Linked DNA regions of Rattus norvegicus. The protein of the gene in region 1 purifies or fractionates together with the protein of each later gene. This does not show direct contact. Links are inferred from orthologs where the notes say so. Each region holds a gene or a part of one and is shown on either strand. Other genes may lie near its edges. The genes, in order: Nfx1 and Larp1.

Region 1 (3,815 bases):
AGCACTTAGTGACTTGTGGAAGACCCTGGGTAGGAGTCTCAGAAGGGAGGGAGGGAAGAAGGAAGGGAGAAAGGGAGGGAAGGAGGAAGGAAAGGAGGGAAGGAGGAAGGGAGGGAGAGAAGAAAGAAGGGAAGGAGGGAGGGAGGGAGGGAAGGAGGGAGAGGGGGAGGGAAGAAGGTTCACAGGAAGGGATGGACCCACAGTGCTCACATCTACCAAGACCATGAGAAGTACAGACAACCAGGCCCTGGGCTGAACACGGTTACAGTGCAAAGATGGCAAGCACAGGGACAGTATGCCAGTAAGCCACGGGGGCAGATGAGTGGTGTATAATTCCAACACAGGGGCAAGAGGCTGTGGGAAAACTGAGCTTAGTGATGTCTCTACTAGAACTAGACATCTGACAGAATGCTGTATAGAAGCTAGAACAAGAAAAAAAAAATTAAATTTTAGTATTTCAGGTAAATATTGCCTTCATGGAAAACTGTCAATTATAGACTGGTTAAGAAATTCTACTGAACAAAAATATTTTTGGAAGTTAAGAAAAAATTATTGTGTGTGTGTGTGTGTGTGTGTGTGTGTGTGTGTGTGTGTGTGTGTGTGTGTGTTTGGGAGAGTCAGTTCTCTTCATTCACCATGTAGATCCCAGTGTTGGCAGCAAGCACCTTACCCATAAGTCATCTCACTTAACCCTATTTCTGGGATATTACAAATTGTGGAGGGGTGATTTCTGCTGAGAACAGCAGCTCACAACCAGCACCGAGGAAGCTGAGGTCTGAGGATAACAGAGTGGCTGACAGCAGCTAGGGCTATAGCATGAAACCCCATCTCAAAACACAGAACAAAGTAAGACAGGGCTTAGCAAGGTGCCCACTCCGAGTCTGCTAACCCGCTGCCTTTCATTTCTAGAGCCCATGTAAAGGTGGAAGCACAGTATGACTGCATGAATGCTCCTCTGGCTTCCACAGGATGATGGATCTTTAAACGACTGCTCCACACACGGGTATCATGTATTTCTGATGATGTTCAACACACACACACACACACACACACACACACACACACACACACACACACACTCACACACACACACACACACACACACACACACACACACACACACAGAGCCTTCTCTTATCCTCCCTCCACAGGCTGGAGATGGGTTGGTAATTAAGAGCATTTGCTGCTCTTCCAGGAGACCTGGGTTCAAGTCCCAGCTTACATGTGTCTGCCTGCAGTTTGTATCCTGAGGAGGGACATTCTAAATGACGGCAAATACCGAATTTGTGAGAAAGAGGAACAAATATTCTTCACACCTCCAAGTCCTATCGTACAGGCTGCTGCACAAATGAACACCTTTCCCTGGATGTCCTACAAAAATGCCTTTAACTTTTTTTCTTAAAACCAGCAGTGTAAAACAGCAGGATTGTTGGCTTTGATACACAACTTTATCACATCCTCGCATTCTTTCTGAGCCTCATCTGTGAAGTGGAAACCATCATACCTACAGACAGCACTGGGCTGTGGGAAGGATTTCACTACTTAGTAGGGTGTCTGCTCAGCGAACGGTTCGCATCACTCTTTCCCCTTCCTGTTACATGACAACAGTATGCACGCTCAAAGCCACTAGCAAAGCCCTTCTAGGGAATCCCCAGAAGTCTGCTTTCCCAACTTACAGATTACAGGAATGTGGACAGTCCTGGCCAGGCTGTTTCTTTCTACAAACTTCACCACAACTGTGCGGAATTTCATTTCTGCTCCATTCAGGGTTCTTTACTTTGCCTATGACAAATCAAATGGGAGAGTCAATGCTATAAATTCCAACCACACCCTCAACGTCTATGAAACGGCTAGGCGATGTGAAACTGAAGCCTGTGCACTGCTCTCAGCAGGACGGCATCTGCTGTCTGTTGTACACTCTGAAGCAAAGCTGGCTGTAACGCCACTTAGCCTACAACCTACTGAGCACGGTGAAAAAGATAAGCAACTTTTACCAGTGAAAATGACATTTTGTACTACTGAACATAATCTATTTTTTGAGATATTTACTAGATAAGCCATTGATAAATCTTCTTAAACTGACAAGTGTCTGTGATGATGACCAGAAGGAAAGAAAGGAAGAGTGCCAGGGCACAGCTCAGTGGTAGGGCATGTCTTAACATGCTCTGGGGTCTGCTCCAGCACTGCGGGGAGCTCACGGGGTGGAAAAAGAAAGGGACTGAACCAGGAAGAGGCTGTGGGATGGACAGAGAGAAATCCCACAGAGGAGCCTGGCTCTGAAGCTTCCCAGTAGGCATAAAAGGGCTGAACTTTCATTGTCAATGTCTATATAAATCTTCATGGACACCTCTCTAAGCTTGGGTCTCAGAGTGAAATGCTATCTCAGAAAAGCAAAAATAAATATATATCCCTTAATATAATTGAGGTTTGCTATAATTTTATCTGCCTGACTTGCCAGTGACATCATATCTAATTTACATTATCTTCCTAGTATGATACTCAATCAAGAATATTCATACCCTTTACTAATATCGATTTAATATTCTGAACTCAGATTTTGGTAACAAATCATATAGAAACAGCAGATTTCACATAAAGAGAAGCTAAAGTGAGAAGGACTAACAAAAGGAGCTTCCTTTGGGGAAAAACAGCACTTGGAAGTGAGAGAGTTAAATGAAGACATAATGAAGGGGGAGTGGTAGAGTGCTTACCTAGCTTTCAGGAGGCCCTGGGATTGAGCCCAGCACCACAAAAAGGGTGGGGATGCAGAACATGTTTGCTAGTGAAGGAATTAAGTTATTGAGTAGCAACCAGCCATTGTGAGGGGGAAAAAAAAGAGGACTATAAGCAAGCTGGTTAGGACAATAAAGACAGTATACAAAAAGAAATAGAACAGGCTAATTTTTCTTCTTTATGAAAACAATGGTCAAAAGTGTCAAGGGAGTCATCTGCCAAAAAGTTAATTACATAAGCCTATATGGCACTGTGACTGATGAGTTTTGAATACAGTTTCAGTGAGATAACAAAGGCAGATGCAAAAACCTAATGGTTCAAAGGGAGAAACAAACCGTCAGGAATTAAATCAACTAGATTAATCACTATAAGGAGAAAAAAGACATACAGCTAGCAGTAGGAATTCATCTGGACCAAAGAAAACTGATGCTATTAAAGATCAGGAAAAGTGGCTAGACAGGGTGGCATATCTTTAATCCCAGCAGGCAGACCTCTGAGTTCAAGTCTAGCCTGGTTTGCATAGTAAGTTCCAGGCCAGCCAGGGCTAACATAGTGAGACCCTGTCTGAAAACAAAACCAGGAAAAACTAGTGCACAGAGAGGGAATACAAGGATAGTTTGTGTTACCAATTCCTAGAAAAGCTCTCCATTATGAAGTTACACAGTTCATTTCTTATTAAGCACTGCTTTACTCGTGCTGCTTAGATCTACAATGTCAAAGCTGTTGCAGCACCCAGGCCTACGAACCCACCTGGGACACAATACACAGGACAACAGAACATCCTCTTATAACTCTCAAGTCTTCTCAATAACCTCTCACTGAGGTGAGTGCCACACTGCAGACACAAACTTACTTACCACAGAAACAAGTGTAGGTACTGGGAACATGTGCAGAAACATTCTGACAAGCGGGGCACCTCCAACCACTCTGGCCATCTGGAGAGAGAGGGAGAGAGAGAGAGAGAGAGAAAGAGAGAGAGAGAGAGAGAGGGAGGGAGGGAGAGAGAATGAATATAAGTACAATTTCTTACACAGTGTAAGCTGGATTGGGGATATAGCTCATTGGTAAGGAATGTGCTTTGT
Region 2 (3,815 bases), on another chromosome or scaffold:
AGAGAGGCATGGCAGGCCCCTCAGACATGGCTTTTTCCTTCCCCCTAAATTCTAGTTCAACTACCCATCTGGTAGCCATAGGCATGTCCTTTTCAAACACCAGACCTCTTTTTTGTTGTTATAAATCTCTAAAATAAGGAGATCAGAGGTTCCAGATGTAAGAATCACTTTCTGGAAACCTGAATAAAAACTAACTTTCTAGGCTCCCTTCACACATGTGACACATCACTGCCTGTGACAACCTTGTGGGGCCATTCTAGGTGGAGTGAGCAGGAACAAGGGAGCCACCTTGGATGGAGAGGCTGCTGTGCTTAATGAGTTAAGAGTTGCCACCTCAAGCCTGGCCTGCAGACACAGAATAGGTCTCGGAGAGAAAGCAGTCAAGCCTGTATCATTTCAACAGGTTTAAGAAACTCTTAGAGCAATATAAAAGCCCGTATAAGAGAAGATGCACTAAGGCTGAGCAAAAGCTGCTCCAAGCAGTCAGTCACCCCCTGGCCTGAAGTTCCTCCAGCAGGTCAGGCTTATGTCATTTCAAAGTTCTGAAAGGTACACCTCCCGGGTCCTGGCCAAGCCACTTACCTTTCTTCTTCTGCCCGCCTCGCTGGCAGTCCTCATCCCCATTCTTTTCCTCCCCCGATTCATCCGACTTTGTTTTTGGGCTCTCCTTACTATCACTTCCATCTCCTTTCTCCTGCTCCTTCATGTCCTTCTTGGGTGGCAGCTTACGGGCAGGCTGAGGCTTGTGGGACTGTGGCTACAAGAGGCAAGGAAACATGTGGTCACTGGGGAAGTATAAGGACAGGCTACACTAGATACATCCTAAGGTCTAGCTTTCATACTCAGACAACACCACTACAAAACACGACCATACCAGCTATGGAAGAACAACTGATTGTTCTAGCTACCCAAATCTGTGGGATAGAAAAGATGCTGGCCTGTCTGTACCAAAACCTCTACCATAAGGGACCCACTGGGGCAGTCACTAGCTCAGAACAAAAGTGATGAGTGGAACTGAACTGACCAAGAAAGAGTCTCTTCTGCTAGAATCTAGGGGAGCTAAGTATACCTCCCCAAACTGGAGTCAGTGCCTCAACTGATACCTCTTTTTTCAATTACTCATAGAAAAATGTGGCTCAGTAATGGAAAAATATGGGCTTTGGAAAACTGTAACACAGTTGTTTCCTAAACCCGCTGAGCCACCACTGGAAGGCAAAAAAGAACAGTGCCTGGCACCCCTGAAACCAGGCAAAGGCTCACATGATGGTAATTCCTAATTATTTCATTCCTGTCCATCTTAAATAACTACTCTTCATTTGTTGAGAATTGAAGGGGGTTGGGAGTCCTATGTCTCAAAGGATGGCCTTGAACTCTTGGACTGAGTATAGTCATCCTTCTTTATCCTTTTGAGTAGCTGGGATTTCAGAAGTATACATACTATTGTGCTCACCGACCACTCCTTTTCAAAAATCAAGAAAGGTGGTGTTTATGGCTCTTGGTCAAAAACCAACTAAGTCAGTATGAAGAGTACTTGAACCTGCCAACCCCTCCTCACTCACCTGCACACTTTTGTGGGCTATTTCTCCAGGTGTAGGCCAGTTGATTGCATCTCCAAAGTCACCAACCTGCAAGGTATCGTCTATGAAGGCCTTGGGGTTACTCTGCCTGCCATTTTGCTCCACACCCAAGCTCTAGCTCTTTTTAGAGATAGGGACACAACAGTGTGTGCACTCAGACACCATGCAATGGCACCCATAAAGGCTTCCATGCTCTTAGAGAAGGGCCCGAAGTGCTTATGAGAACAAGAATAATGAGCGCCCACAGGGACACTCCCCGGTCTTTACCTTGCTGCCCTTACGCTGTTTGGGAGCAGCTGCCCTCACCACCTTGGCCGGAGCAGAAGGTTCTGTGGGAACAAAGAGAAAGAATCAGCTGTCAGAGCCTATGTCATTACCATGCCCATCCCACCATGCACCTACAGGTTCCCAAAGGAGCCACAGCAGAAAGGGCAACAATATAAACTGGCAGCCTAGCCACCAAGCTGCTCAACACTGAAGTGGGAAAACCCTTAGAGTCTAAGTCTGTATTTTTTATGAGTTATCAACTGAGTCTCAAGGTCCATAACCAAGTCTACACTGTAACTCAGAGCTCCAAATCTATAGGCAAAACCTGTAAGGAGATTGAGTCTTCTGTATACTTCTGCAAGCCCAAAGAAAATAAAGCTAAACATGTGAATGGACACGTCCAGGGCCATACCAAGGCCTGCTGTGTCCTCGCTGACATGTAGTTGAAGTAAGAACTACCTTTTCTGTTCCTAAAGAAAAGGCATACTCCGATTTGACTCTAAAGTTCAATTTTGTGAGACAACATTTCCCAGTGTAGCCCTGACTGGCTTGGAACTTGTCAGCAGATCAGACTGCTGAACTCATAGAGATCTCCCCCCGACACATCCTTTGCCTCCCAAGCATGCCACCATACCTGGCCAGTTTCATCTTTTAGATTGAACCCCAATAATACAAGTGAGACAAGAGCTATACACAATTTCAACTCCAACAGTACTAAAATCACCGAATTTCAATTCATCCACTTTCACAATAGCCATTAGAATATACTGGTCTTTGGTTATGTGGAGATAGACACATAGAAGATGATGACTTCATCTGTTTTCTATAGAACAGAGGAGCGTGTATGTAATCATGCATCTGTGGGGCATATATTTAACTTTTCTACAAAGACGAAGATGGCTTTTAAGGAACAGAGTACGCAAGTCTAGAAGAAGTGGCTCTGGTTAGTTTGGTCCTGAAAACCAAGGGTGTCTTGTCCCTCCTGCCTCTAGAGATCCACGGGAAGAAACACAACCTGAGATTCTGCTCACTCACTTTAGCTTGTACTTCCCTCCTCTGCCATGTCAGGTCAGGAACTACCCTAGCCTCCAAGCACAGAAACCTGGCTGGCTGGCCTCACAAGGTTTTTCAACAGACTATGTCCTTTAATGAGAAGAAAGTGTCCTTGCCCAGTTCCTAAGGGTGAAGCCAATTCATTCCTGGCTTCTGGCCGGTTACTGGAGCCACTGTCCCCTAATGGTGGACATAAGTCTTCTGATAGCTGGAGTTGTTGAGCCCACAGCAACCTCCAGGGCTGAGAAGCAGAAAACTAGAAAATCTCAGGTGCAAGAAAACCACTGTCCTTTGACCCCAGGTTGACCCAGATAAGCCATTGAACATTTAGTAGTTCCTTGACTGGTCTAAAGCTCCTCACACGAGCCGAGCAAGTGTGGTAGTAGATGCCTTTAATGCCAGCACTCAGGTGGCAGAGACAAAGGATCTCTGGAAATCTGAGGACAGCCTAATCTACAAAGTAAGTTCCAGGACACCCAGGGATATACCGACCATCTAACAACTAAACAGATCTTCATCCAATTCAGCCCAGGGCCTGGACAGTGGCCGCCCACCTGAGCTACAACTGGAGTCATTTCTTCATGTGCTCAACAGCATTGGTACATGCTAGCAGGAAAGCAAGCCCCAAAGCTAGTGACAAAGTTTACAACAAGAATTGTATGCACGCTGGGGATTTGGCTCAGTGGTAGAGCACTTGCCTAGCAACCGCAAGGCCCTGGGTTCGGTCCCCAGCTCTGGAAAAAAAAAGAAAGAAAGAAAGAAAGAATTCTATGCACAAGGACTGGAAGTAAGGTATACCGAAAATCATCTCTGAAAAGAGGGCAAAAGTTTCCAGACACTGGTCTTTTCAAGTCTCTTGGTCTGAGTAAAATATACCTTGCCTCGCCAGGAAATGGAGAATCAACTCTCACAAGCTGT

The links.
Region 2: the proteins of Nfx1 (region 1) and Larp1 purify together in Homo sapiens (affinity purification with mass spectrometry, with the first as the bait; 3 studies listed by BioGRID). This does not show direct contact. The link is inferred for Rattus norvegicus from reciprocal best matches to the Homo sapiens genes NFX1 and LARP1.

Annotation. Positions count from the first base shown.
Region 1 is NC_086023.1:60,914,526-60,918,340, reverse strand, and holds part of Nfx1 (transcriptional repressor NF-X1), read right to left. Parts: intron 3,669-3,815; coding exon 3,591-3,668; intron 1,783-3,590; coding exon 1,677-1,782; intron 1-1,676. UniProt on the Homo sapiens protein: Binds to the X-box motif of MHC class II genes and represses their expression. May play an important role in regulating the duration of an inflammatory response by limiting the period in which MHC class II molecules are induced by interferon-gamma.
Region 2 is NC_086028.1:42,722,751-42,726,565, reverse strand, and holds part of Larp1 (la-related protein 1), read right to left. Parts: intron 1,907-3,815; coding exon 1,845-1,906; intron 1,626-1,844; coding exon 1,560-1,625; intron 758-1,559; coding exon 583-757; intron 1-582. UniProt on the Homo sapiens protein: RNA-binding protein that regulates the translation of specific target mRNA species downstream of the mTORC1 complex, in function of growth signals and nutrient availability.